4 linked regions of the Anolis sagrei genome follow. The main gene of each other region encodes a partner of the protein of the gene in region 3 in a complex. Links are inferred from orthologs where the notes say so. Each region holds a gene or a part of one and is shown on either strand. Other genes may lie near its edges.

Region 1 (7,837 bases), on a different chromosome or scaffold from region 3:
AGTAGTCTGCAGTGCCTTTCGTGTTCCTGGATTCTTGTTTGGGCGCTGCGTTTGGTGGTCCCTATGTAGACTTGTCCACAGCTGCATGGTACACGGTAGACTCCTGCAGAGGTGAGAGGATCCCTCTTGTCCTTTGCTGAACGTAGCATTTGTTGAATTTTCTTGGTGGGTTTGTAGATAGTTTGTATGTTGTGTTTCCTCATCAGCTTCCCTATGCGGTCAGTGGTTCCCTTGATATATGGCAGGAACACTTTTCCTCTGGGTGGATCTTCATCTTTACTCTTGTGGCTTGTTCTTGGTCTTGCAGCTCTTCTGATGTCTGAGGTGGAGTATCCATTGGCCTGTAGAGCCCAGTTGAGGTGGTTCAGTTCATCTTGGAGGAGGTGGGGTTCACAGATTCTTTTTGCACGGTCTGCCAAGGCTTTGATGGTGCTTCTTTTTTGACTTGGGTGATGGTTGGAGTTTTTATGTAGATATCTATCTGTGTGTGTGGGTTTTCTGTAGACGGTGTGACCTGTCTGTGTTCCTGCCATATATCAAGGGAACCACTGACCGCATAGGGAAGCTGATGAGGAAACACAACATACAAACTATCTACAAACCCACCAAGAAAATTCAACAAATGCTACGTTCAGCAAAGGACAAGAGGGATCCTCTCACCTCTGCAGGAGTCTACCGTGTACCATGCAGCTGTGGACAAGTCTACATAGGGACCACCAAACGCAGCGCCCAAACAAGAATCCAGGAACACGAAAGGCACTGCAGACTACTCCAACCAGAGAAATCAGCCATAGCAGAGCACCTGATGAACCAACCTGGACACAGCATTTTATTTGAGAACACAAAAATGCTGGACCACTCTCACAACCACCATGTCAGGCTACACAGAGAAGCCATTGAAATCCACAAACATGTGGACAATTTCAACAGAAAGGAAGAAACCATGAAAATGAACAAAATTTGGCTACCAGTTTTAAAAAATTCTAAAATTAAAACAACAGAGAGAAAAACAGGCAGGGACATCTAATCACATTTCATTAAGAGTTTGCTCCAGGCACAGTCAGCCCATTGTATGCTAATCAAGGTGGTCAATTGAAAAGATTCACACCTAGCCCATCTTACAAAAGCCTTTTGTCTCACCCTGGTCTTTCCACAGATATATAAACCCTCTCTTTTTTCCCAGCTCCAGACCTCACCCTCTGAGGATGCCTGCCATAGATGCAGGCGAAACGTCAGGAGAAATGCCTCTAGAACATGGCCATATAGCCCGAAAAAACCCACAAGAACTGAGTGATTCCGGCCATGAAAGCCTTCGACAATACAATGTAGATTTATCTTGTACAATGGACTTCTCCTGAGATGGGAGAATTTATAATGACTGCTGGTTTTACTGCTGGGTCTATGGACCGCAATAAATATTGTTGTTGTTCTAGATCTGGGATATTTGGCACACAAAACTCCCATTACCAACAGAAAATACTGGAGGGTTTCTTTTTTTTTGGGGGGGGGGGGAGATTATGAGAGCTGCAGCCCACCCACATACAGAGACCATTGTGATCCTCACTGATGATGGATCTGGACTAAACTTGGCAGACAGATCCCTTATGACCAACTGTAAATACTGCGGGGTGGGTGGAAGGGGGCAATGGCAGAAGGTGAGTGGTAGTTTATCCACATCCTTACACATTTTCTAATGGAACTATTAATAAAACCGAAAAAGTATGCATGACTTTTATCCTTACCAAATACAAAAGCTGGTCATCACTGGGTACCAATGGTAAAGGTTTCCCCTGACATTAAGTCTAGTTGTGCCCAACTCTGGAGGTGGTGTTTATCTCCATTTCTAAGCCGAAGAGCCAGCATTGTCCGTAGACGCCTCCAAGGTCATGAGGCCAGCATGACTGCATGGAGTGCTGTTACGTTCCACTGAAGTGGCACCTATTGATCTACTCACATTTGCATGTTTTCGAGCTGCTAGGTTGGCAGAAGCTGGGGCTAACAACGGGAGCTTAACCTGCTCCCGGGAATAGAATTGCCGACCTCTCTGTCAGCAGCTCAGCAGCTTAACTCGCTGCACCACCGGGGGTTAGTATATAATTAAAGTGAATGTATGTGTGTGTGTGTGCATGCATGTATGCTTATACCACAAAGGCTCTTCTATAGCTTGATGGATCTGGACCAAACATAGCACATGTGCCTATCATAATCCAATTTAAAATAATTGAGGGGTTTTGACTAAAAAAACAACAACTAGAGGTGAGGGAAAGGAACAAAGCAGATTGGCTGTTGCTAGGTGAAGTGGCTCTCTGTCACGTGACTGAGAGGGAAGGGGGAGAGAGGGAAGGAAAGAAATAGAAAGGCTTTTAGGGGCCTCCCAGGCGCCCATATCATTCCCATAGAGAAGTTACATGGTAGGTAAGTTCTGAAGAGCCACGGAACCAATGCAGGCGCAGATAACGCCGAGTGTACTGGCTAGTTTGAACTAAGGAACACCACTATACTCAGCGCCCACGGGTGGAAGCAAACCTCCGCGGATACCGAGAGCTCACTGTAAGAAGTAGCAGCCACCCTTTCCCAATTTCCATCTGAATTGGATCCATTTTCCAGGCCTCCTCTGCTTCAACGCCCTCGAAGGCGAGGCGCGCGTTCCTGCCTCCTTCCCCTGTGTCCCCTCCCTCGTCTCCCTTGGCACCAGGCTTACTAACTACAGATCGCCTGTTTCCAGCAGGGAAAGCAAACGAAGCCGTTGTTTTAACGGGTAGACGTGAAGTACAGGCCCTGCCCCTAACCAGCTGAGTAACAGGGACCCTTTCCTTGTCTTTCCGCCTCCTTCGGCCATTACAACCGCTCTCAGGCCCAGACAATCCGAGCAGGCCTTCTTCTCCCCGCCGCCTCACCTCGGGCCCCTCCGCCGCCATCTTACCTTCCCTCTCGTGTTCTCAGCTCACACCTTCGCAAGGCCTCCAGCGCTCGGCTCGCCGACCAATCCGAAGACGGCCTGAGCACGGCCGCGATTGGTTAAAAGAGGCGTCACTCAGATGAGGTGGAGCAATGAGGTGCCGGTCTTCTCTCCTTCCTTCCTTCTCCCCGCCCACTGAACGATACAGGCTAATGGACATTGCTCAGAGCGGGAAGAGTCCGACTGGTCTATTGGCTGCGATGCTTGTCGCGTAAGCAAGGGCGGGGTTTGAGGTTGAGTGACAGCAGGGCGGCCGCGTGCTTTCCCTTCCGCCGGAAGGAAGGGCGCGTCTCGCTTTTTTAGGTCCTTTTGAAACAGGAAGCTCTCTAGGTTCTTGTGGGTTTTTTCGGGCTATATGACCATATTCTAGAGGCATTTTCTCCTGACGTTTCGCCTGCATCTATGGCAAGCATTCTCAGAGGTAGTGAGGTCTGTTGGAATTAGGAAAATGGGTTTATATATCTGTGGAATGACCAGAGTGGGACAAAGAGCTCTTCTCTGTTGGAGCTAGGTGTGAATGTATTGTCGAAGGCTTTCATGGCTGGAATCACTAGGTTCTTGTGGGTTTTTCGGGCTATAGGGCCATGTTCTAGAGGCATTTCTCCTGGCGAAACGTCAGGAGAAATGCCTCTAGAACATGGCCCTATAGCCCGAAAAAACCCACAAGAACCTAGGTGTGAATGTTTCAACTGACCACCATTAGCATTTGAAGACCTGGCTGAGCCTGGGGGAATCTTTTGTTGACACAGCATATTATTTGAGAACACAGAAATGCTGGACCACTCTCACAACCACCATGTCAGACTACACAGAGAAGCCATTGAAATCCACAAGCATGTGGACAATTTCAACAGAAAGGAGGAGACCATGAAAATGAACAAAATCTGGCTACCAGTATTAAAAAACTCTAAAATTACAACAGCAAAGCAGCAGAGAGGAAACAATCAGGCACATCTTAACACCTCTCAACAAAAGATTCCCCCAGGCTCAGCCAGGCCTTCAAATGCTAATGAAGGTGGTCAGTTGAAACATTCACACCTAGCTCCAGCAGAGAAGAGTCCTTTGTCCCACCCTGGTCATTCCACAGATATATAAACCAATTTTCCTAATTCCATCAGACCTCACTACCTCTGAGGATGCTTGCCATAGATGCAGGCAAAACGTCAGGAGAAAATGCCTCTAGAACATGGCCATATAGCCCGAAAAAACCCACAAGAACCTAGTGATTCCAGCCATGAAAGCCTTTGACAATACAGGAAGCTCTCTCTTTAAATACAGCCGTCCCTTTGTATCCGCTGGAATTGGGTTGCAGGGTCTTCGTGGATGCAGAAGGCGTCCCTTAGGTAATAGTATGAAAGCTGGGTCCGGAAGTTGAGAGGAACATGAGAACTGTGTTTCAAGATTTCAAAGGGTGTCCCATTGAGGAGGAGAAGGGGGGAAACTGACTTTCTGTTGCTCTAGAGACCAGGCCACAAGGGAGCAATGGTTTCAAATGGCAGAAAAAGAGTTTCAAACTGAAAAGATTAGGAAGAACTTCCTGGGGAGTAGCATAGGCTACCTGAGTGTGGTGGAGTGTCTTTCTCTGGAGGCTTTTCTGTAAAGGCTGTCTTCCAGGAGTGCTTTGATTGTACCTTCTTGCATGGCAGGGGGTTGGACTGGATGGCCCTGGGGGTTCTCTTCTGGCTCTAGGATTCTGTATCAGGAGGAGGCAATACGGAGTCTAATTGATACACTTTTCTCTCTCATCCACCATCTCATCCTGACCCAATTAGCATTCAAAGGTTTCTGGTCTCTCCTTCACTTTCTGCCTCCGAAAGGGGAGTAAAGGGCACGGAGGTGGCTTGGTGAGAACCCCCTTCCTCCTGGTCCGCCCACCCCACTCCAGCCCGCCATGAGGGCCCCAAGTTCGAATGCTTTATACACGCATACACATATTTTATATTAAAAACCTAACTTTACCTTTTGTATGGCTACGGTGGTTTACAGACTTCTTAGATTTGCTAAATACCTTCATTCACACACATTCTGTATCCAAGCCCTAAGTCGGTTTATCTTTCATTCATGATGTGGCCAGAGGTTGATACCAAGCTTCTTAAACCATTTTCCACTCATGACCCCTTTTTGGATCGAAAAACTTTTTACATGACACTAAATGGGTATAGAAATCAGGCATGATAACAAATCAGTATTTGCAAGGCTTGCTAATCAAGCTCATTTTTTCATTTCTGTGTACGTCTGAAGTATTTTTTGCCAAGTCCACTGTAAACACTGCAGATTTGTATAAATGTTCAGAAATTTATCGCAACCTTGATGTTGAGCCAAGGGGACCCCATTTGAGGTCTTCACCCAGTTTAAGAAGCAGTGCTTATGCCACTGGCAGCCTACAATAAACATTTGAATGCTTAGGTTCATGCTCCCATCGTTCTACTTTCCATTGCCCTGCCTTCAGCATTTTGTGAACACAGGACATATGGCAATGTGTGTGTGTAGCAGGTTCATTTCAATTTGGGAACAGAAAACCCAGGACACCTATGCCAGCCACGTAGCAGTTAAATGAGCCAATATTTTAATGCCAAGTGGTAACTGGCATTACTACTTGGCAACAACTTCCTCATATACAGCGTGGCTGATGGCAAGGTGACTTGGTGGTCCCTCATTCTTAGGACATGATGGAGCAATAGATTCAAATTGCAGAAAAAGAGATTCCACCTAAACATTGGGAAGAACTTTCTGACGATAAAAGCTGTTCAGCAATGGAATATGCTGTCTTGCAGGGTAGTGAACTTTTCTTCTCTGGAGATCTTTAAGTAGAAGCTGAATGACTATTTGATTGTGGGTTTCTGGATTGCTGCATGATCTCTTCCAACTTCATGGTTCTATGATCACCTTAAGTCAAAATCAACCTGATGGCAGTTAAACATCTCGTATACCTTGACAGCAATTCCAATTATGTACACATCCTAAGCCTACCTCTTTGTATGAAAACAGTGGAGGGCATTTCCACTAAACCATCTGCATAAAGCCTCATTCCAAGGCTAGATGATAGAAATACATCCCTATCTATCAGCACAGGAACAAGACGGAGAACACAGCCACAGATTTTATTAATTAGAACTCAGACAAAACAGTGGCACACACATTGGGTTGCCAGCAACTCAGCCATTTAATTGGAATAGATCTCATGGGCCGCCAAATCCAGTTCCCTCCTCAGTGCAAGATCAAACATCTCGAGAAGGAAGCCATCTAGCCTCTTTCTGAAGGCATCCAGAGGAAGAGACCCCACCACCTCTCTAGGCCCTAGGCAGTTGGTTCCATTGCTGAACACTTCAAATGCTCAATCAAAATCGAACTGTTAAATCTGGTCCAACCTTCTAGAGCTGCAGAGGGTAGGCCTTCCTTGCTGCAATAGCACTGGTATTTAGACTACAATCGTGTCACCCCTCAGTCTTCTCTTCACCAAGCTGAACGTGGTCACCTCCTTCAGCTTCTCACATTTTGCTCTCCATATTTCTTATCCTCATTATCTATCTTTGCTTCAACCCATAATCCTTTAAATGAGGTACCTGGAATTGAATGTAGATCAGGGTTGATCAGCACAGAATATAGTGGGACTATTACTTTCCTCAACTTGGGAAACTATGGTTCTATTAATGTAGGCTAGAATAGATTTCACCTTTTTTGCTGCAGCATCACACTGCTGGCTTGTGTTCAATGTATGATCAACAATCATCCCAAAGTTCTTTTCAAATGTTGTACGGCTGAGCCAAGTATCACCAGCTTCTGGGTTTTGTGCTCTATATGTAGAATTTTCAATATATACTATTGACTTCCTTTAGTATCTAATTTTATACTTCAACAAGTTTCTTCTGAAGTGTTCCCATCCTCCGGTGTGTTGACCACCCCTTCCATTTTTTAGCCATCTGTAAACCTGCTAAGGATTTCCTCTATCCTGTCATCTGAATAACTGATAAAAATTTTCACTTGTAAAAGCGCTGGAAGAGAAACCCGAAGCTCTCCACTTGAGAACTCCTTCCAGTTTGAAGCTACTGATGACGACTTTTCAAACAGTGTTTTCAACCAATATTATGTAACAAAATTTGAAAAAAAAATGTTTCTGGGTTTTATTTTGTGAAGATGTTATTTCCTGTTTAATTTTGCAGTACTTTCTTGGGAAGTAGTTTTTATATTCCAGAAACTTTGTTTTTGTGGCTTCTACAAACTATCCTGAATGGTTGAGACTCTGTGAGACACTCATTGAAAAACTATGTGCTGTAGGATATACTGCAAAAACTCAAGTGTTTGTAGTTTAATATTTTTTTCTGTTTTTATGACAGAACCAATTAGAAAATGACATTTATAACTCAGGAACAAAAAATTGTGTTGCATAGTGTAATAGTTCCATCTGACAGCGTTCTTATCTATTCCACACTGATTCAGATTTCCAATCAAATTATAGGGGATAATTATAGGGGATTGACATAATGTTGCTTGCAAGGGTGTAGACTGCCACATAGAACAAACTATTCTCAGGGAATCATCCTGGTCTCTGCAGCTGGCCTGTATGAGCTCAGAAAGCAGACCTTTGTTGTTTTCCTGTGCAACTGATTAAGTGCACAAAATGCCCTCCCCAGAATTTACCCCTCAAATCTACATAGTTTGAGGCCAGAGATACAACCCCGTGCTATACAACTTTTGTGGCTAATGGTTTTTATCTGCTGGTAACATTGCGTGCACTAAACTACACCATATCCAAGGCTGTCATGACAATATGAGTACAGGTGGAGAGAAGATAAGTATTTCTTGCATCAGATTTGATACATAGCAGGAATGGACAGATGCAGTGGGCCCATACTTACTCTGGACCCCATGGATTGAACA
Region 2 (7,193 bases), on a different chromosome or scaffold from region 3:
ATATTTAAGCTTTTCCTAAATGCTAGTGTCTCTATGTATATATCATTAGTGGATTTTAGGAAGTACACAACATCCACAGGCTGATAAAATTTAATTGTTTTGAAGATTTTAAAAAGGTATCTTAGTTTTGCAATATTCTTCCGTAAAAATTACAACTCTAGAACAATAAAAATGGCAGATTCCTTATTTCTACCTCCATGATATTCTATGAACATTCCTCCCTATGATTTGTAATAGGTCCAGGGGACCCATGTGCTGTCCTTCGGACTTTCTGGGGATTGCACAGGCCACCCAAATATACTCTTCTCCCAAAACCAGAACTTTACTTCTACTTGACAAAAAATGTATTTTTAAACAGTGTGGAGGACTGGCAGGCAGGAAAAACAGAGTCATGTGCAGCCCCAATACTGCACTTTACCCAATCTCTGTCCTAAAGCTTAAAAAAATTAATAATGGGATGTCCAAGCTACAATTCTAAGGGAAAGAAACTTAAGCCCCGAACTATCTAGAAACAAGATACCCAAAGACCCAAACATAATCCTCATATTTATATAAGCAACCTTCAGTTGCTCAGGTGTTCAGAAATTTTAAACTAGTGTCCTATAGACCCACTTACCTGAACTCAGGCCGCATTTACACTGCCATATAAAATTCAGATTATCTGCTTTGAACTGGATTAGTCTATACTGCCATGTAATCCAGTTCAAAGCAGATCATCTGATTTTATATGGCAGTGTAGATGGGGCCTCAGTGAGAGACTTGTTTCTGACTTGTCACTATAGGGCCACATCGGTTTAACTCAGTCACTACAAATTGTTTATAATAAAATATCTCCCCATTTTGTAGGACTGATTGAGAAAGAGGAAGTAGTGATATCTGTGTGTGAGAGATTTTAGGTTTGAGAGCCCTGGCTCAAATGAAGGCCTCATCTAAACTGACCATTTAATGCAGTTTAAAGCTAGCTTCAAACCGCAGCAGCCAGGCAACAAAATTCCCACAAAAGCTGCAGAAATAAAGCATTAATGTGCACCAATGCTCTGCACACCCTCCAGGCCTGAAACTGGTTCCAGGATTTCCTACTGAATGATCCGCTTTGAAACAGCATTACACGCTCAGTCAAGATGAGGCTGAAATCTGGAATGGGTGCCCTCAGAAAGGCGCTCCCACTATTGCAAAACCTTAATTTTCTGGTGATATTAGGACCCACATCAGAGGCAGGGCCCTTGAGAGCCGGGCCTTGGGCAAGATGACAAACAGGGCCTGCTTCCTTCCTTCCAAATTGGGTTTAGTAATGGATGGTTGGCCTTCTTTTCACCCACCGGGCCAGTCTTCTCTTCAGTGGGGCCTTAGCCACCCCTTTCCCCTTATTCTCCCTGCCTTGAGTTTCCTATTTGGAGCAGAAATACCCACACACAGGAGAGTGCGAAGGAGGAGGAGGAAGAGGAGAAGGAGGAGGGACGGAGAGGCTTACCTTCCCTCTTGCAAACCGCCTCCAAAGGCAGACAACTTCCCAAAGTTATTTTTATATATATATATACTAGCCAACCCCTGCCACGCGTTGCTGTGGCCCAGTCTGTGTATATGTGTTTTGTGTGTGTATATGTGTGTTTAGGTCTGTGTATATATTTGTGTATTTATATGTGTATACGTGTTTATATATTTGTGTGCTTGGTGTATGTGTATTTGTGTATATATATGTCTGTATGTGTGCATGTGTATATGTATATTTCTGTGTTTATATGTGTATATGTATATTGTGTATATGTGTGTGCTTGGGTGTATGTGTATATTTGTGTATATATATGTCTGTATGTATGTGTGCATGTGTATATGTATATTTCTGTGTTTATATGTGTATATGTATATTGTGTATATGTGTGTGCTTGTGTAAATGCATATATATGTATGTGTATATGTATGTGTATAGGTGTATATGTGTATAGTTGTGGGTGCTTGTGTGTATATATATATGTCTGTCTGTATGTGTGCATGTGTATATGTATATTTCTGTGTTTATATGTGTACATATATATTGTGTATATGTGTGTGCTTGAGTGTATGTGTATATTTCTGTATATATATATGTCTGTATGTATGTATGTGTGCATGTGTATATGTATATTGTGTATATGTGTATAGTTGTGTATATGTATGTATGGTTTATTGGGGGGGGGGGGTTAAAGTCCGTTCGGCTGGGTTTTTTTGTGTGTTTTTAGGGGTGATGGACACTCATTGGCGTGATTGGTGTCTTGTGGCCAAATTTGGTGTCAATTCGCCCAGTGGTTTATGAGTTATGTTAATCCCACAAACGAACATTGCATTTTTATTTATATAGATTTCATTTATTTATTTATTTTGCCTTACACCCATCACCTTCCCTTAATAGAGATCTGTGTGGGAAGGAGGGGGGACAGGCTGTTCCACGACCACGCTCCCCCCCCCCTCAAAAAAACAAATAAACCCGTCCACTAACTCCTCTCCTTTCCTGGCCTGGCCCTATTCCTTCCCCCCGGCCACCCCATTGCCTCTCCTCCCGCTCAAAGTTGCCAGGAGTCCAGGAAGGGGCTTCTTCCTCGACTTGGCCTGGACTCGAAGCGAGACTTGCTTCTTCCCTTGGCATCTCTGAGGGGAGGAGGAGGAGAGTGGCGACGGTTGGAAGGAAGGGGGTGCCTTCTCCCCCAAACCCCTTCCTCGTCCTTACCAGGGGAGCATGCCTCTGCAACGTCACGCCCCCAGCCCCCCTTTCCCCTCTGCCATCCTTGCCGCTTCCTTGGCCCCCTCATGGCACCCCCTCCGCGGGCTCAGCCAGACCCACCTACCTGCCGAGAGAGAGGGAGAGAAGGGGACACCCTCTCCAGGCACAGCCTCTCCCTACTTGCCCTCAGAGTCGCGCCCGCTTGGCAACCTGCTCCCAAGACCCCCTCAAACACCTACCTGCACAGCTCAACCAGCCTTGAAGTGGGGTGGAGGGGGTGGGAAGTCTTCCGCCCTCCTCCGCTCCCCATTGGCTGACACCAAGGCCTAAGCCGTCGCGGTTGGCAGAAGGCGTGTCCGTCAACGGCGAAAGGGCGGGGCTTGACGAACTGGGGAGTAAGGGGGAGGGGGTGATGCTGATACCTCAAGGCTTCTTTTGCCTGGTGGTTCTTGGGCATGAGAGGAAATCGAGAGGGGCTGGGGGGGGGGGGGGGGGGAATACCTTCCTCGGTTATTCAAGCCCCCCCCCCCCCAATGTTTCCCCTCAGGCCCCCCACTCTGTGCTTCAGCCAGTCCCAGGAGTAGCCTAAAAGGCAACAGTCAAAGAGCAAAGCATTCCAATAGGCTCAGCCTTAAAGCAACTCCTCTGTCAGATGGAGAAGGAGTGGATTGGGGGAAGGAGGGGAGGGGGGTGCCATTTGGAGAGGAAAAGCGGAGGCTTTACCCTTACAGACCGACCAAAATTCTCCTCAGGCCCTGAAGAGGAAGAGACTTCCATAATTCAAACACACACACCAACGGACCAGGAAGCGTTTCCCACTCCCAAATTTCTCCTCAGGCCCTGAAGAGGAGACTTCCATAATTCACACACACACCAATGACCAGGAGGGGTGTCCCCTCCCAAATTTCTCTTCAGGCCCTGAAGAGGAGACTTCCATAATTCTATACACACACTCACAGTCACACTCTCCAATGGACCAGGAAGCATTTTCCCCTCCCAAATTTCTCCTCAGGCCCTGAAGAGGAGACTTCCACAATTCACACACAGACCAATTACCAGGAAGGGTTGTCCCCTCCCAAATTTCTCCTCAGGCCCTGAAGAGGAGATTTCCATAATTCTACACACACACACACACACACCAATGGTCCAGGAAGCATTTCCCCCTCCCAAATTTCTCCTCAGGCCCTGAAGAGAGACTTCTATAATTCTACACACACACACACCAATGGACCAGGAAGTGTTTCCCCCTCACATATTTCTCCTCAGGCCCCAAAGAGGAGACTTCCATAATTCTTCACACACACAGACACACACACACACACACACACACACACCAATGGACCAGGAAGCGTTTCCCCCTCACATATTTCTCCTCAGGCCCCAAAGAGACTTCCATAATTCTCTTTCTCTCTCTCTCACACACACACACACACCAATGGACAAGGAAGCGTTTCCCCCTCACAAATTTCTGCTCAGGCCCTTAAGAGGAGACTTCCATAATTCTACACAGACACACACATCAATGGACCAGGAAGCATTTCCCCCTCTCAAATTTCTCCTCAGGTCCTGAAGAGGAGACTTCCACAATTCACACACACACCAATGACCAGGAAGGGTTGTCCCCTCCCAAATTTCTCCTCAAGCCCTGAAGAGAGACTTCTATAATTCTACACACACACACCAATTAACCAGGAAGCGTTTCCCCCTCACATATTTCTCCTCAGGCCCCAAAGAGACTTCCATAATTCTCTCTCTCTCTCTCTCACACACACACACACACTCACACACCCCAATGGACGAGGAAGCGTTCCCCCCTCACAAATTTCTGCTCAGGCCCTGAAGAGGAGACTTCCATAATTCTACACACACACACTGCAATGGACCAGGAAGCGTTTCCCCCTCACAAATTTCTCCTTAGGCCCTGAAAAGGAGACTTCCATAATTCACACACAAACACACACACACACCAATGGACCAGGAAGCATTTCCACCACATACATTTCTCCTCAGGCCCTGAAGAGAGACTACTATAATTCTACACACACACACACACACACACCAATGGACCAGGAAGCGTTTCCCCCTCACAAATTTCTCCTCAGGCCCTGAAGAGGAGACTTCCATAATTCTATACAAACACACACTCTCACACACCTCAATGGACCAGGAAGGGTTTGCCCCTCCCAAATTACTCCTCAGGCCCTGAAAAGGAGACTTCCATAATTCACACACAAACACACACACACACCCATGGACCAGAAAGCATTTCCCCCACATACATTTCTCCTCAGGCCCTGCAGAGGAGACTTCCATAATTCTACACACACACACACACACACACACAGCTCAATGGACCAGGAAGAGTTTCCCCCTCCCAAATTTCTCCTCAGTCCCTGAAGAGGAGACTGCCATAATTCACACACACACACCCCAATGACCAGGAAGCGTTGCCCCCTCCCAAAATTCTCCTCAGGCCACGAGGGGGAGATTTATAATTTTCTTTCCCCCCCCCCTCCCGCCCATATAGAACAAGGAAGGGTCGTCCCTCAGGCCCTGAGGAGAGGACTTATCATTCTCTTTTTCCCCCATAGGTTACAAGAAAGTGTTGCCCTTTCACGAATTTCTCCTCAGTCCTTGAGGAGGGGACTTATAATTCTCTTTCCTCCCCATAGGTTACAAGAAAGTGTTGCCCTTTCACGAATTTCTCCTCAGTCCTTGAGGGGAAGACTTCTAATTCTCTTTTCCCCTCATATAGAACAAGGAAGAGTTGTACCTTCACAAATTTCTCCTCAGGGCCCGAGGAGGGGACTTATAATTCTCTTTTCCCCCCATCGGTTACAAGAAAGTGTCGCCCTTTCACGAATTTCTCCTCAGGCCCTGAGGGGAAGACTTCTAATTCTCTTTTTCCCTCATATAGAACAAGGAAGGGTCGTCCCTTTACGAATTTCTCCTCAAGCCCTGAGGAGAGGGGTCTTATGATTATCTTTTTTCCCCATATGGAACAAGGAAGTGTCACCCCTTCATAAATTTCTCCTCAGGCCCTGAGGAGGGGACTTATAATTAATTACCACCACCACCCCACCCATATAGAACAAGGAAGGGTCGCCACTCTCACAAATTTCTCCTCAAGGCCTGAGGAGGAGACATATAATTCCTTTTCCCCATAGGTAACAAGGAAGGGTTATCCCTTCACAAATTTCTCCTCAGGACGTGAGGGGGAGACTTATAATTCTCCCCCCACCCACCCTCAGAACAGGAAAGGGTTGCCCCTTCACAAATTTCTCCTCAGGCCAGGAAGAGGAGACTTCCATACTCCCCTTTCCCCCTCATTTTGAGAAAGGCCTCCCCAGAAACAAAACCCCACAAAGGTTGCCCCTGCCATCCTTTTTTGGGCTCAAAGTAAGGGAAAAGGGAAATAGGTGTGACATGCCAAGTTAAAGCCCAGGCATCTTGAAGTGGATGTTGGGGAGGGGGAGTCCAGGCACAAAGTGACTGTGGGTTACTGCTTTACTCTGGCTATCAGCCTAGTTTTTGTGATAACAACAACACAGGATACAGCATAATTAAAATACATAGATAAATCAAATGACCATAAAATACGTGTATTAAAAACATAGAATATGTATATCTTGGATAATAAGTACAGTCAAATAATGCAACAAATGACAATTGGAAAAGAAGACACAAGGCTGCTTGGATGGCTTTTAATTAAAACTGGACAGTGCAAATGGATGAATCAATCAATTAAACTTTATTTATATCCTGCCCTACCTTCCCAAGGAAACTCAGGGCGGCTTACAACAAAATAAGAGTGGCAAACATTCAATGCCAACAATAATATATAAACAAATAAAAAAAACAACTCAATAAATCATAAGACAACTTAAACCAAATGTGACACAGTACACATAATTACAAACATATTAAATCCTTAAAATCTCATTAAAACAGGTTTTTTTTGTCATGTCAGGAGCAACTTGAGAAATTGCAAATCACTTCTGGTGTGAGAGAATTGGCTGTCTGCAAGGATGTTGCCCAGGGGACGCCCGGATGATAAGCTGTCAATTAAAGTCACAGCAGATATCTTCAACACTACAGTTTTACCGGCAATTATATACACTTCTGAAATATGGGCAACAACAAGGTTAGAGGAGGAAAAACTGGTGGTGACTCAGAGAGCAATGGAAAGAAGGATAAGATAAAGTCAGCAATAAAGAGCTGTGTCAAAGAACTGGGGTACGTGACGTGGTCAATTAAATCTATGAAGCAAAAATAAGATTGACAGGGCATATAGTACTAACAAACGATAGCCAATGGATATGTCAACTGATGAACTGGATCACAATAGACTACAAGCAGTGCCTCTTGGGCAGATCTCATATTTGATGGGACAAACCAATGGTTAAGATATTCAGCCAGAAATGGAAAAGAAAAAGACAGGATCGTATATTTTGGAAATGGTAAATTTGCATTAAGCCCAAAGGAGTGAATTGACAAC
Region 3 (7,362 bases):
CTTTGTATCCCTAGGGATGTCCCGCTTAGCCCTTCTAATAGCCGAGGCCGAAAATTCCACATATTCAATCTGTCTATACAAGAGTAAACATACACTAATACATTAACATTTTGGTGCCCTCTCAAGACATCCCAAAACTACCGCCTCAGCCATTGTGCCTAATAGAAGCCATCTAAGTATGTGTTTTCCATTTCTGTTATCTCTTATCTAAATAGCCAATGTGGTATAATGATTTGAATATTATGCTAGGACATTGGGAGACCAGGCTTCGAATCCTCACCCGTCCTGGAAACCCAATAAGGCCACATCTACATAAACAATGTAATGCAGTTTCAAAGATTGTTTTGAAAAATCACCACAATATTTAGTACACCAGGCAGGGGCCAAATTTGGCCCTCTGGGTTTTTTGGACTTCAACTCCCACCATTCCTAACAGCCTCAGGCCTCTTCCTTTCCCCCCTCAGCCGCTTAAGCATCTGAGGAGGAAAAGGAAAGGGCCTGAGGCTGTTAGGAATGGTAGGAGTTGAAGTACAGAGTTGAAGTACAGGAGTTGAAGTACACCCAGAAGGCCCAAGTTTGCCTGAGGGGAAAAAGGAAAGGGCCTGAGGATGTTAGGAATGGTGGGAGTTGAAGTCCAAAACACCCAGAGGGCCCAAGTTTGCCTGAAGGGGAAAAGGGCCTGAGGCTGTTAGGAATGGTGGGAGGTGAAGTCCAAAACACCCGGAGGGCCCAAGGTTGCCTGAGGGGGTAAAGGAAAGGCCCCAAGATTGCTAGGAATGGTGGGAGTTGAAGTCCAAAACATCCAGAGGGCCCAAGATTGCCTGAGGGGAAAAAGGAAGGCGCCTGGGGCTGTTAGGAATGGTGGGAGTTGAAGTCCAAAACACCCTGAGGGCCCAAGTTTGCCTGAGGGAAATAGGAAAGGGCTCGAGGCTGCTAGGAATGGTGGGAGTTGATGTTCAAAACACCCGGAGGGCCTAAGTCTACCCATGCCTGTCCTACACTTTCCAGTCACCCCTTAAAACTACTTACTACACAGGGCCATATAACCCAGAATATCAAGGTGGAAAATAATAATAAAACTAATAATAAAACTTTATTTATATACAGCTCTATCTCCCCAAGGCGACTCAAGTAACAAACACCAAAACATACATAAACATAATATTATCAAAACAACACAAATATATTAAAAATAATCCTGCCTATTTGTGCTTGTGACACAACACTGTTATAGTACAAGTTTAGCATCCTTTATCCAGAGACTGAAAATATTTCAGAATCAGAAATTCTCTATTTAAGTGTCTTAAGATAGTGGTGCTTTTGCTTTCTGGTGGTTCAGTGGACATATACTTTGTTTCAGGCACACAAGGATTAAAATATTTTACCCCTTCAGGTTCTGTATATAAGATGTGCACGACACATACATGGAATTTCATGTTCAGACTTGGCTCCCATCTCCAAAATATCCCATCATGCCCATATATACAATACAGGCAGTGCCCAAGTTATGAGGAAGTTAGGTTCTGTAGGTCTGTTCTTAAATTGGATTTGTATGTAAATTAGAGCAGGTTCATTTTTTTAAGCGTAACTCCATCCAAATGTGTGTCCAAATATGTGTGTGTCTGTATTTGAAGCTTGAAACCACTTTAATTGCCATATAAAGGTAAAGGTACAACACAAAGGTAAAGGTACAACACATATAAAGGTAAAGGTACAACACAAAGGAACAACACAAAGGTAAAGGTTTTCCCCTGACATTAAGTCCAGTCATGTCCAACTCTGGGGGTTGGTGCTCATCTATTAATATTTATTTATTTACAACTTTTATATTCCGCCCTTCTCACCCCACAGGGGACTCAGGGCGGATTACAATGTACACATATATGGCAAACATTCAATGCCAATTTGACATACAAACATATACAGACATACACAGAGGCTATTTAACTTTTTTCTGGCCACCAGGGGAGCTGTCGCTTTCATCGTCCATCTGCGACGCTGATGAAGCACTTCCGCATTCCCTGCATGCTTCCCCGCTGGAATGCTTTGCTGGAGTCTTCTTTATGGCCTCATAAATCAGTTAATTTAGCCTCCCCACACTTTAAGGTTGTACCTTATTTTCCTACTTGACAGATGCAACTGTCTTTCGGGTTGCAAAGGTTGACAACAGGCTACACACAATTGTTTGGAAACCCACTCCAACCCGGGCTGGCTTCGAACTCATGACCTTTTGGTCTGAGTGATCTTAATGCAGCTGACACTCAGCCAACTGCGCCACAATCCCGGTGCGCTCCATTTCTAAGCTGAAGAGCCGGCATTGTCCGTAGAATCATAGAGTTGGAAGAGACCTCATGGGCCATCCAGTCCAACCCCCTACTAAAAAGCAGGAAAATAGCATTCAAAGCACCCCTGACAGATGGACATCAAGCCTCTGCTTAAAAGCCTCCAAAGAAGGAGCCTTCACCACATTCTGGGGCAGAGAGTTTCACTGCTGAACAGCTCTCACACTCAGGAAGTTCTTCCTCATGTTCAGATGGAATCTCCTTTCTTGTAGTTTGAAAATCCCACAATATATGCTTTAAACTGTGTTATCTGAGTCCTGCCATACAGGCCTGTAGCGAGGGGGGAGGGGTTAGGGGATCAACCCCCCCCCCGAAATGTTTCAGATTTTTTTTAAAAACCTGGTTTACTCATGAATTTTAACTGGTGAACCAAATCCCCATGCTAAGTCTATGAGATGCAAAAAATTAAGAGTCCCTCCAGAACTGTAAGCACTATCTCAAGCAAATATTGACAATTTATTCACACTGTCATTACTTGCAGGAATAGCCAATGTTGTGAAGCAACCAAGTTGGGGTGTGTGTGTTGAATGCTCTCATTAAGGAGGCCAGACTTGGTGGAGGTGGTTGACAGGGGCGGAGCTGCAGGCTATTGAAGGCTGCTCTGCCCTTTGCTGTGCTCTTTGCTTCAGCGTGAGCTAGGAGGCAGGCTTCAACACCCCCAGGGCAGCTCACCCATTACGCAAAGTAAGCATTTGCAGTATAGTTGATTTTGCCCAGGGGCGCTCTTGAGGAAAATAGACATTGACATATGCAAGTTGTAGCTACTGGGATGTATGTTGTTGTTCATTCGTCCAGTCGTCTCCGACTCTTTGTAACCTCATGGACCAGTCCACGCCAGAGCTCCCTGTCGGCCGTCACCACCCCCAGCTCCTTCAAGGTCAGTCCAGTCACTTCAAGGATGCCATCCATCCATCTTGCCCTTGGTCGGCCCCTCTTCCTTTTGCCTTCCACTTTCCCCAGCATAATTGTCTTATTTATTTATTTATTTACTTTGCTTGTATACCGCAGTTTCTCACCCCGTAGGCGACTCAACGCGGTTCACAACAAGAGCAAAAAAGTCAATCGTACAACATACAATATTTAAAACCATTAACAGCCTAGTATACAAATAATGACACATCAATAACAACACATTAGCATCTCGTAACTAAAATCGTGATCCAATTCGTCATCCATAAATCCGTTCCTATATTCATCGTTCAATTGCACTATTTATCTGAACGCCTGTTCAAACAGCCAGGTTTTTAGTTTTCTTCGAAACACGATTAACGAAGGGGCAGATCTAATGTCCATGGGAAGGGAGTTCCACAGCCGAGGGGCCACTACAGAGAAGGCCCTGTCTCTCGTCCCTGCCAGCTGTGCTTGCGATGCAGGCGGGATCGAGAGCAGGGCCTCCCCAGAAGATCATGGCGCTCCTTTATCTTCTCTAGGCTTTGCTGTCTCCTCATGATGTGGCCAAAGTACTTCAACTTTGTCTCTAGTATCCTTCCCTCCAGTGAGCATACATACATACTGGGATGTATAGTTCACCTACAATCAGAGAGCATTCTGAACTCCACCAGTGATGGAACTGAACCAAATATGGCACACAGAACTCCCACAACGAACAGAAAATATATATCAGTGATTGGTTGGGGGGGTGGGGTGCCAAAATACTGTTTGCTTACCGTTGAAAATTACCTAGGGCCGCCGCTGAATTACCTAGGGCCCCCCGCGAAATTTTCAACCCCCCCCCCCGAAAATTTCAACCCCTCCCGAATATTTTTTCTGGCTGCGGCCCTGCTGCCATATATCCCAGTTCAAAGAGAATCATGTGGGATTTTATCCAGCAGCGTCGAAGGGCCGTCCAAAAGTCAGCACCAACTCCCTGTGTTCTGCCTCAGAGAGGAAAAAGGCTGTGAAGTGACTGACAGTTGGTTCCCTTCTTAGGCCAACCGTCGTCCCGTTGACGCCACGCCCCCTCGCCTTGGCCACGCCCCCTGGAGGACCCTCCTTCTTCTCTCTCTAGGCAGGCGGGCGAGCGAGCTAGGGGCGCCGCAGCAGCCGTGGCGGCCATTTTGTGGCGCTGCTGCTCACAGCGGAGCGCGCGCGCGGAGGAGGAGGAGGACCCGCTCCCTCGCTCGCGCCTCTTCCCGCGCGAGACCCCCGGTAAGGACATGGCGCTCCTTCATCATCTTCCAAGTCGTTGTTTGGATGGAGGGAGAGGGGAATAGAAAGCGTGGCTCCCTCCGCGGCCCTCACAAAGGCGGCGGCGGCGGAGAGGGGCGGGGACCAGCCGCGGTTGTGACTGTGGGAGTCCCGGGGCCTGGGAGGGGTGGAAGGGTTACTTGTGCCGCAAGGGAGCCTCCCTCACGACCTGCTCTTCAGGGAAAGCGAAGGAGGGAAGCTGGGTAGCGGGCCCGCGGGCGCCTCTAGCCGGGCGGGATGTGGGCGTAGGGCTCGGCGGCCTGCTCTCGTGTGAGAGGCCGCTTCCTCTCCTCTCCTCGCCACGCGTCCCGCCCTCTTCCTTTCCCTTTCCCTTTCCAACGGTGGCCCGCAGCCAAAGGGGAACGGCACCAGCTGCGCCTTCCTTGAGCCTTCTCCGGGATGATGGCTTTCGAGGATAGCCGTAACGTGACCTTGATCTTCACCAGCCACGCTTCGGCATCAACCCCTGTCAGACCCTTTATGATTAGACCAATGTGGGTTCTGCATTAAGCCTACACATTAACCCCTTTCAGAACCATTATCGTGGCCAGCGTGGGTTCTGCCTTATCCACACACATTAACCTTTTGCAAAATCTTTGTCATGACCAATATGAGTTCTACATTAACCCCACACATTAACCTGCCCCCCTTCCAGCCAGGACCTTTATCATGACCCTTGTGGGTTCTTTGCTAATCCCACGCATTAACCCCTTTCTAAACCTATAAAGAACCTATACCAGGAATGATAAAGGTTTAGAAAGGGGTTGGTGCATGGGATTAACACAGAACCCACAGTGGCCATAATAAAGGTTTAGAAAGGGGGTTATTTGACACGACAAATAAACCCCTTTCTAAACCTTTATTATGGCCACTGTGGGTTCTTTGTTAATCCCATGCACCAGCCCCTTTCTAAACCTTTATCATTCCTGGTATAGGTTCTTGGCTCTTTATTAACCCCAAGCATTAACCCCTCTCAGAACTTCTATTATGACCAGTATGGGTTCTGCATTAACCCCACACATTAACCCCTTTCTAAATCTTTATCACAACCGAGGTGGGTTCTGCGTTAACCCCTTTCAGAACCTTTATTATGACTGGTGTGAGTTCTGTTTTAACCCCACATATTAACCCCTTTCAAAACCTTTATCACAACTGATGTGGGTTCTGCAGTAGTCTCACACATTAACTTCTTTCAAATCGTTTGTCATAACCGGTGTAGGTTCTTAATTAATCCCATGTGTTAACTACTTTCAGAACTTTTATTATAACTGGTGTGGGTTCTGTGTTATACACAATATTAACCTTTTTCAAAACCTTTGTCATGACCAATATGGGTTCTGCATCAACCCCATACATTACCCCATCAGACCCTTTATCATGATACTTGTGGGTTCTTTGCTAATCCCATGCATTAACCCCTTTTTAAACCTTTATTATGGCCACTGTGGGTTCTGTGTTAATCCCATGCATCAATCCCTTTCTAAACGTTTATCATGCCTGGTATAGGTTTTTTTTATTAACTCCACACGTTAACCCTAAGCATTAACCCCTCTCAGAACCCTTATTATGACCAGTATGGGTTCTGCATTAACCCCACACATTAACCCCTTTCTAAATCTTTATCACAACCGAGTGTATTCTGCATTAACCCCCTGCATTAACCCCTTTCAGAACCTTTATTATGACTGGTGTGGGTTCTGTATTAACCCCATGCATTAACCCCTTTCAAAACCTTTGTCATAACCGGTGTAGCTTCTTCATTAATCCCATGCATTAACTACTTTCAGAACTTTTATTATAACTGGTGTGGGTTCTCATTAACTCCTTTCAAAACCTATATCATAACTGATGTAGGTTCTTTATTAACCCCACACATTAACCCTTTTCAGAACTTTTATTACAACTGGTGTGGGTTCTGTGTTAACCCCACACATTAACCCCTTCCAAAATCTTTTATCATAACTGGGGTGGGTTCTGCATTAACACCCCACACATTAACTCCTCAGTGTGCATCAGTGCTCAGTGGTTTCTATAATCATAACCTCAAACTTGGTTTCAAGATTTTCTTTGTAAGCATTTGCATAACAAAATTTTTATTTATTTATTTATTTGGTGCATTTGTTAACCGCCATTCTCAGCCCTTTAGGGCGACTCATGGCGGTGTACAACATACATAAAAAGGCAATTTACAAAAAGGCAATTACAGAACAACATATTAACAATACAACAATTATAAAGTTACACTAAATAATCCGCTTCGTCTCATAGTGGAATCATAACCAATCTCATATTCCTTGTTCCATTCCAGTCATCTTTACCACATTATTATAGCACTTAATTAAATGCCTTCTCGAACAGCCATGTCTTAAGGCTTTTTCGGAAGGACATGAGGGAGGGCGCCTGTCTGATGTCTGCAGGGAGAGTGTTCCACAGCCGGGGGGCCACCACCGAGAAGGCCCTCTCTCTCGTCCCCGCCAGACGTGCCTGTGAGGCAGGCGGGATCGAGAGAAGGGCCTCCCCAGACGATCTCAAGGTCCTCGTGGGCTCATAGGCCAAGATGCGGTCCGAAAGGAAAACCACTTTCTTCAGTACTGGTTTGAATCTGCATTAAATGGCTGGCCTAGATGGGGCCTCAGTGGGCTTCCATGAGAATTTGAACTATGGTCTCCCAATGTTCTAGTACAACATTCAAGCCACTTTATCACACTGGCTCTTTAGATTGGGGCCACCTTTTTTCTTTTATATGATAAAATTGTAGCACTGGGTTTTATTTTCATTTGCGTAGTAGCTGTCTTTAGTCAGTATCTGTTTGAGAGCAATTTTCTGTAAAAAA
Region 4 (7,084 bases), on a different chromosome or scaffold from region 3:
TGTGACTCCCCAGGGGGCTTTAGACTAAACTAAGCAGATATAGAACGGAATAAGGAAGTGAGGATCAATCATATTTGTGATTTCTCTGTGGAATTTAAAATTGGACAGTAAAGGGGGGGGGGGAATCAAATAATTTGAAATGTAGAGCTAGAAGAGACCACAGACCACTAAAAAAGACAAACATATGGGTCCGAGAACAAACCAAGCCTGGATTCTCGGTATTTTGGTCATAGAATGAGACAATGCTACTTCTTAGGAAAGACAATAACACTTGGAAAAGTGGAAGCAAGAAAAAAAAAGAGAAAATACAATACAGATGGACTGATTCAATCTAAGCAGCAACAGTTTCCCAGAATTTGTAAGATTGGGATTGGGGATCCTGTAGGTTTCTAAGTCAAGAGATCTTCCTAAGTCAACATGCACAGACAGCGAGACAGACGAGTGACACTTACATGGTGCCGCTGTCTTGGTGCCTCTTAGGTGTCACAAAGAGCAGGCGGGTAGGGCGGGCATTGCTGGCATCTGGGTGGGCACTCCAGGGCTTGGCATAGCTGTGATCCAGGAAGACCAGGTCCAGCTCTCTCTCGTGGACCGACAGCTGGAAAAGCAGGGAGGTCCCCATTCTCCGTGCAGAGGTCTGGAAATCGCGTTCGTTGCCTCGGTATGACATGTCTCCACGTCTTTGGCTGCTAACGCCGTTGGGGCAAAGGACTCCTCTTGCCCCTCATCCTGGTCCCTGGCAGGAAAGGAAGAGAGAAGCACCAAGAAATTGGCTTCTTCACACATCTGTTTATTTCTGAGGGGCTGCTGATACAGATTGGAGCCTGGGTCTGTAAATTTAGGATCTGCTATGAGTTTGGGCCTGCAGAAGCACCTCCCAAGATTTCCAGGAGTTCATATTGTGCATTCCTATGCATATAAAAGGTAAAGGTTTTCCCCTGACATTATGTCCAGTCATGTCCAACTCTGGGGTGTGGTGCTCATCTCCATTTCTAAGCCAAAGAGCCAGCATTGTCCGTAGACACCTCAAAGGCCATGTGGCTGGCATGACTGCATGGAGCGCCGTTTTATATATATATAACTATGTATATTTACTATGTATATAGTAAATCCTATACTATGGGACTACCTGGGTCCATAAGGTGACTCAATCCAAATGTTTGAGAAGTGGACAGCAGTATCCTTGGGTTGCTGTGAGTTTTTCAGGCTGTATGACCAGCTTCCGGAAGCATTTTCTCCTGAAGTTCCGCCCACATCAATGGCAGGCATCCTCAGAGGTTGTGAGGTATATTGGAAACTAAGCAATATATGTGGAAGGCCCATGGTGGGAGAAAGAACTCTTGTCTGTTGGAGGCCAGTGTGAATGCTGCAATTACTCACCTGGCTGATTCCTGCCTGGGGAAATCCTTTGTTGGGAGGGGTAAACTGGCCCTGATTATTCCATATTTTCTGAGTGTTGCTCTTTATTTACTGTTCTGATTTTAGAGGGTTTTTTTTAGTACAGTAGAGTCTTGCTTATCCAACACAAATGGGCTAGCAGAATGTTGGATAAGCAAAAATGTTGGATAATAAGGGCAGATTAATGAAAAGCCTATTAAATGTCAAATTACCTTATGATTTTACAAATTAAGCACCAAAACATAATGTTTGACGACAAATCAACAAAAAAAGCAGTTCAACACAGTAACGTTATGTATTAATTACTGTATTTACAAATATAGTACCAAAACATCGCAATGTATGCGGAAACAGAAGAATGGCCTGTCTCAGGGGAGCGTGCTTGCTCCATCCACGTTCAACATCTACACAAATGACCAGCCACTGCCAGACGGGACAGAGAGTTTCATCTATGCAGATGATCGTGCCATTACTGCTCAAGCAGGAGCTTTGAGATGGTTGAACAGAAGCTCTCCGAAGCTCTAGGTGCTCTTACTGCCTATTACAGGAAAAACCAGCTGATCCCTAATCCATCTAAAACACAGACATGTGCCTTTCATCTCAAGAACAGAGAAGCATCCCGAGCTCTGAGGATTACCTGGGAAGGAATCCCACTGGAGCATTGCAGCGCACCCAAATACCTGGGAGTCACTCTGGATCGTGCTCTTACCTACAAGAAGCACTGCCTGAACATCAAGCAAAAAGTGGGTGCCAGAAACAATATCATATGAAAGCTGACTGGCACAACCTGGGGATCACAACCAGATACAGTGAAGACATCTGCCCTTGCGCTGTGCTACTCTGCTGCTGAGTATGCATGCCCAGTGTGGAACACATCTCACCACACTAAAACAGTGGATGTGGCTCTTAATGAGACATGCCGCATTATCACGGGGTGCCTGCGCCCTACACCACTGGAGAAATTACACTGCTTAGCCGGTATTGCACCACCTGGCATCCGCCGGGAAGTAGCAGCCAATAGTGAAATGCTATTCTCTCCTGACGTTTTGCCTGCATCTATGGCAAGCATCCTCAGAGGTTGTGAGGTCTGTTGGAGCAAAGAAAATTGGGTTTTTATATATATGTGGAATGTCCAGGGTGGGACAAAGAACTCTTGTCTGTTGGAGGTAGGTGTGAATGTTTCAACTGACCACCTTGATTAGGATTTGATGGACTGGCAGTGCCTGGGACAATCTTTTGTTGAGGGGTGATTAGATGTCCCTGATTGTTTCCTCTTTGTTGTTTTGCTGTTGCAATTTTAGAGTTTTTTAAATACTGGTAGCCAGATTTTGTTCAATTTCATGGTTTCCTCCTTTCTGTTGAAGACCCTCTGAAGGTGCCATTTGCCACAGATGCAGGCGAAACGTCAGGAGAGCATGATATTGGAACAGGGCCGCTGTTGAGTATGTGCAGAGTTGCCCAAAGGCCTTTACTCACCTTTAAGAGCGGCCTCGATCCCGACGGGGCTTGAACGGAGAGACGTTGAGGGAAGAGGAAAACAAGCAGGCGAGACTCTCACTTTAGCCCCGGCCGCCAGCCAGGCAGGCCTCAGCCTCTTCTGCGCATGCGCGCTTCTTTTTTTTCCCCCTTCGACGCTGATTGGACGCCGAGCCTCCCCTGTCCCGACGCGGTGACGTCACCCCAGCACGTCGGCGCAAAAAAACGGAAGCGGATGTTTAACCGACTTTGGTAGGAAGGGACTCGAGGGAAGCGCCTCGTTGGAAGCAGAGGCCTGAGGAAAGGAAATGGGAAAGAAGAACAAGCTACCGGATAGGTAAGAACGTGAGACCGGATTACACAGAGCCTTCCTGGCCCAACCTGAAAGAAGGGAGAGCCTAGGCCAGGCATGGGCCAACTTGGGCCCTCCAGGTGTTTTGGACTTCAACTCCCACAATTCCTAACAGCCGTTAGGCTGTTAGGAATTGTGGGAGTTGAAGTCCAAAACACCTGGAGGGCCCAAGTTGGCTCATGCCTGGCATCGAAGGTAAAACTGAAAAGAAAAATGGGTTCCTCTAAAACTGTGGAGACCAAAATCCACTGATTGTGGTAATGTGAAAGTATTTAAATTAATGTATTGTCGAAGGCTTTCATGGCTGGAATCACTAGGTTCTTGTGGTTTTTTTCGGGCTATAGAGCCATGTTCTAGAGGCATTTCTCCTGACGTTTCGCCTGCATCTATGGCAAGCATCCTCAGAGGTAGTGAGGTCTGTTGGAATTAGGACAATGGGTTTATATATCTGGGCTCTCCAGGCCAATGGAGACTCCACCTCAGACATCAGAAGAGCTGCAAGACCAAGAACAAGCCACAAGAGTAAAGATGAAGATCCACCCAGAGGAAAAGTGTTCCTGCCATACATCAAGGGAACCACTGATTGCATAGGGAAGCTGATGAGGAAACACAACATACAAACAATCTACAAACCCACCAAGAAAATCCAACAAATGCTACGTTCAGCAAAGGACAAGAGGGATCCTCTCACCTCTGCAGGAGTCTACCGTATACCATGCAGCTGTGGACAAGTTTACATAGGGACCACCAAACGCAGCATTGCCCAAACACGAATCAAGGAACTTGAAAGGCACTGCAGACTACTTCAACCAGCAGAGCACCTGATGAACCAGCCTGGACACAGCATATTATTTGAGAACACAGAAATGCTGGGCCACACCAACAACCACCATGTCAGACTACACAGAGAAGCCATTGAAATCCACAAGCATGTGGGCAATTTCAACAGAAAGGAAGAGACCATGAAAATGGACAAAATCTGGCTACCAGTATTAAAAAATTCTAAAATTACAACAGCAAAACAACAGAGAGGAAAAAACCAGGCACAGATTAACACCTCCCAGCAAGAGATTTTCCCAGGCTCAGGCAGGCCTTCAAATGCTAATGAAGGTGATCAGTTGAAACAGTCACACCTAGCTCCAGCAGGGAAGAGCTCTTTGCCCCACCCCAGCCATTCCACAGATATATAAACCCATTGTCCTAATTCCAACAGACCTCACTACCTCTGAGGATGCTTGCCATAGATGCAGGCGAAACGTCAGGAGAAATGCCTCTAGAACATGGCCCTATAGCCTGAAAAACCTTCAAGAACCTAATAATAATAATAATAATAATAATGTAATAAAACTTTATTTATACCCCGCCACCATCCCCCCAAGAGACTCGGAGCGACTTACATGAGGCCAAACCCAACAACACATCACAACAGAAAAGCAATAACAACAATACAAAGCAATTCAATATAATATCTATATAAATAAAAATGTAATCTTCGTTTGTGGGATAAACAGAACTCAAAAGCCACTGGACGAATTGACACCAAATTTGGACACAAGACATCTAACAACCCAATGTATGTCCTTCACTCAAAAAAATTGATTTATCATTTTATTATTTATTTACTTTACTTATAGACCGCTGTTCTCAGCCCGGGGTCGACTCACAGCGGTGTACAACAAACAAGAACAGCAAGATTCAAAACTACAGAATAAAAACAATTCACAACCTAACACTATACACAGTTAACACCATTACTATGATAACCATTCAGCGTCGTGTCATCATCCAAAACATAATCCAAATTTGTCTTCCGTTGTTCCATTCCTATATTCATTACCAATCACTGCACTAATTATTCGAACACCTGCTTGAACAGTCAGGTCTTCAATTTCTTGCGGAATATCATTAGAGATGGTGCTAGTCTAATGTCCGTGGGAAGGGTGTTCCACAGCCGAGGGACCACCATTTATCATTTGGGAGTTGTAGTTGCTGGGATTTATAGTTCACCTACAATCAAAGAACATTCTGAACCCCACCAACGATGGAATTGAACCAAACTTGGCACACAGATCTCCATATATGAACCCACACATTCCCTTCGATCATCTGGAGAGGCCCTGCTCATGATCCCACCTGCGTTGCAAGCGAGTTTGGTGAGGACGAGGGACAGGGCCTTCTCTGTGGTAGCCCCCCGACTCTGGAACACTCTCCCCAAGGACATCAGACAAGCCCCAACATTGGCAATTTTTAGGAAGAGCCTGAAGACCTGGCTGTTCCAGTGTGCCTTTCCAGATTAGGAAACTCCTGGCATCATGTCCCAAATGCACTTTGTTAGAGACTAGGATTGTCTGCACATTGAACCTACCTCCAACAAACCTCTACATACCTCCTGTCAAGTTCAGCACTTTTAAATTTTGTCCATTACATTTGGCCCGGCCTTTTAGATTTTAAATGCATCATGTGTCGTTGTTTTTAGTGTTTTATTGTCTTAGCTTGATGTTTTATTATTTGCTTATGAGTTTTATGTTATATTTGTATGTTGTTGTTGCGGCCTTGGCCTTTGTAAGCCGCATCGAGTCCTTCGGGAGATTTTGCGGGGTATAAATAAAGTTAATAATAATAATAATAATAATGACCAACAGAAAACACTAGAAGGGTTTGGTGGGCAGTGTCCTTTGGTTTTGGAGTTGTAGTCCACCTACATCCAGAGATCACTGTGGACTCAAACTGTCGAGACACAGACGCCTTAAAGGGGCCACACAAAGTATTAGTTCCAAAGTACAGTTTAATGCAACAAAAACACAGAAGCTCAGAGACGCTTAACTTCAGTGCCTCTGGCTAAAACTCAAAAAATTAGCCAACCTTGGTTTAAAAAGCAAACAGAAACATAATTCGGATTAACCAGAGAAAAGAACTGGATTAAATGCAGTACTTAGTGGCAAACAAACAACACCGCACTCAAACAGTTAACAGCAAAGATAAACCGCCGAAAGAGTAACCAAAGCCAGACAAAGTCCAAGAGTCGTCATAGGTGAAATCCAAAGAAGTGTCGTTTCCAAGTCCGTCAAGCAGTGTCATCGTCAAACCAATCTGAGATCCAGGAAGGGAGAAAACCACACTCACGAGAAGTCAGTCCAAGTCGAACACACACAGGAACTCCAGGCTGCAGAACTCGGACCCAAAGCCCAACACAAAAACAGGCAGCGACAAAATCCACACAATACACAAATGTAACCGACACTTTGACTTCTGCAAAGATTCCCCAATTCAGAGCCTACTTTTATCTTACACATTCTCAAAGGCTAGTTTAAACATCCAAGACTTCAAATCCCTATAAAAGGAAGACAGTGTGGGTACCTGCTTGTGTCTTTCAGACTCTTCATCATACATTAGATTGCTTTTGTACCCAATAATCTGAAATGACTTCAGTGTGGTGAGTTAATTAAGCTGTGCCCCATAAATGAACCCAATAGTACACATAGGAAGACAGCAGCTAGATAATGCATGTACAATTAATATACCAAATTGCAAGTGCCAGAGCAAGCTTTAACTAATGTAACATTTCTGAAGTTTGGCCAAGTAATCTATACTGCTCCAGACATCAGAGTTCGATTCTGTGCTCAGGTGCTCATTCCTGCACTTTCAAGAATGTGCAAAAAATAAAGGCATAGAAAGGAATGCAGAGCAGCAATAAATGTTAATCCTAAAAACATTTAAAGTCAACGTGGACCCAATCTCCACATAAGTATAAGCCGAAGTGGGAAATGCAGCAACTACTGGTAAATTCTGGTAACATCCCTAATAGATTACTGCAACACGCTCTACGTGGGGCTGCCTTTGAAGACGGTTCTGAAACTT

The links.
Region 1: PHF20 (region 3) and KANSL2 share a complex: the UniProt entries of both Homo sapiens proteins name them as parts of the NSL complex. The link is inferred for Anolis sagrei from reciprocal best matches to the Homo sapiens genes PHF20 and KANSL2.
Region 2: PHF20 (region 3) and KANSL1 share a complex: the UniProt entries of both Homo sapiens proteins name them as parts of the NSL complex. The link is inferred for Anolis sagrei from reciprocal best matches to the Homo sapiens genes PHF20 and KANSL1.
Region 4: PHF20 (region 3) and KANSL3 share a complex: the UniProt entries of both Homo sapiens proteins name them as parts of the NSL complex. The link is inferred for Anolis sagrei from reciprocal best matches to the Homo sapiens genes PHF20 and KANSL3.

What each region holds. Positions count from the first base shown.
Region 1 is NC_090022.1:137,522,439-137,530,275, forward strand, and holds the start of KANSL2 (KAT8 regulatory NSL complex subunit 2), read right to left. Parts: upstream 3,013-7,837; 5' UTR 2,924-3,012; exon of another isoform or gene 2,898-2,923; intron 2,883-2,897; exon of another isoform or gene 2,790-2,882; intron 1-2,789. UniProt on the Homo sapiens protein: Non-catalytic component of the NSL histone acetyltransferase complex, a multiprotein complex that mediates histone H4 acetylation at 'Lys-5'- and 'Lys-8' (H4K5ac and H4K8ac) at transcription start sites and promotes transcription initiation.
Region 2 is NC_090026.1:44,096,643-44,103,835, reverse strand, and holds the start of KANSL1 (KAT8 regulatory NSL complex subunit 1), read right to left. Parts: upstream 3,018-7,193; 5' UTR 2,935-3,017; intron 1-2,934. UniProt on the Homo sapiens protein: Non-catalytic component of the NSL histone acetyltransferase complex, a multiprotein complex that mediates histone H4 acetylation at 'Lys-5'- and 'Lys-8' (H4K5ac and H4K8ac) at transcription start sites and promotes transcription initiation.
Region 3 is NC_090024.1:207,253,616-207,260,977, forward strand, and holds the start of PHF20 (PHD finger protein 20), read left to right. Parts: upstream 1-4,354; 5' UTR 4,355-4,490; intron 4,491-7,362. UniProt on the Homo sapiens protein: Methyllysine-binding protein, component of the MOF histone acetyltransferase protein complex.
Region 4 is NC_090027.1:22,755,905-22,762,988, reverse strand, and holds the start of KANSL3 (KAT8 regulatory NSL complex subunit 3), read right to left. Parts: upstream 3,016-7,084; 5' UTR 2,875-3,015; intron 737-2,874; 5' UTR 671-736; coding exon 453-670; intron 1-452. Other genes in the region: DUSP11 (RNA/RNP complex-1-interacting phosphatase), read left to right, coding at 3,183-3,211. UniProt on the Homo sapiens protein: Non-catalytic component of the NSL histone acetyltransferase complex, a multiprotein complex that mediates histone H4 acetylation at 'Lys-5'- and 'Lys-8' (H4K5ac and H4K8ac) at transcription start sites and promotes transcription initiation.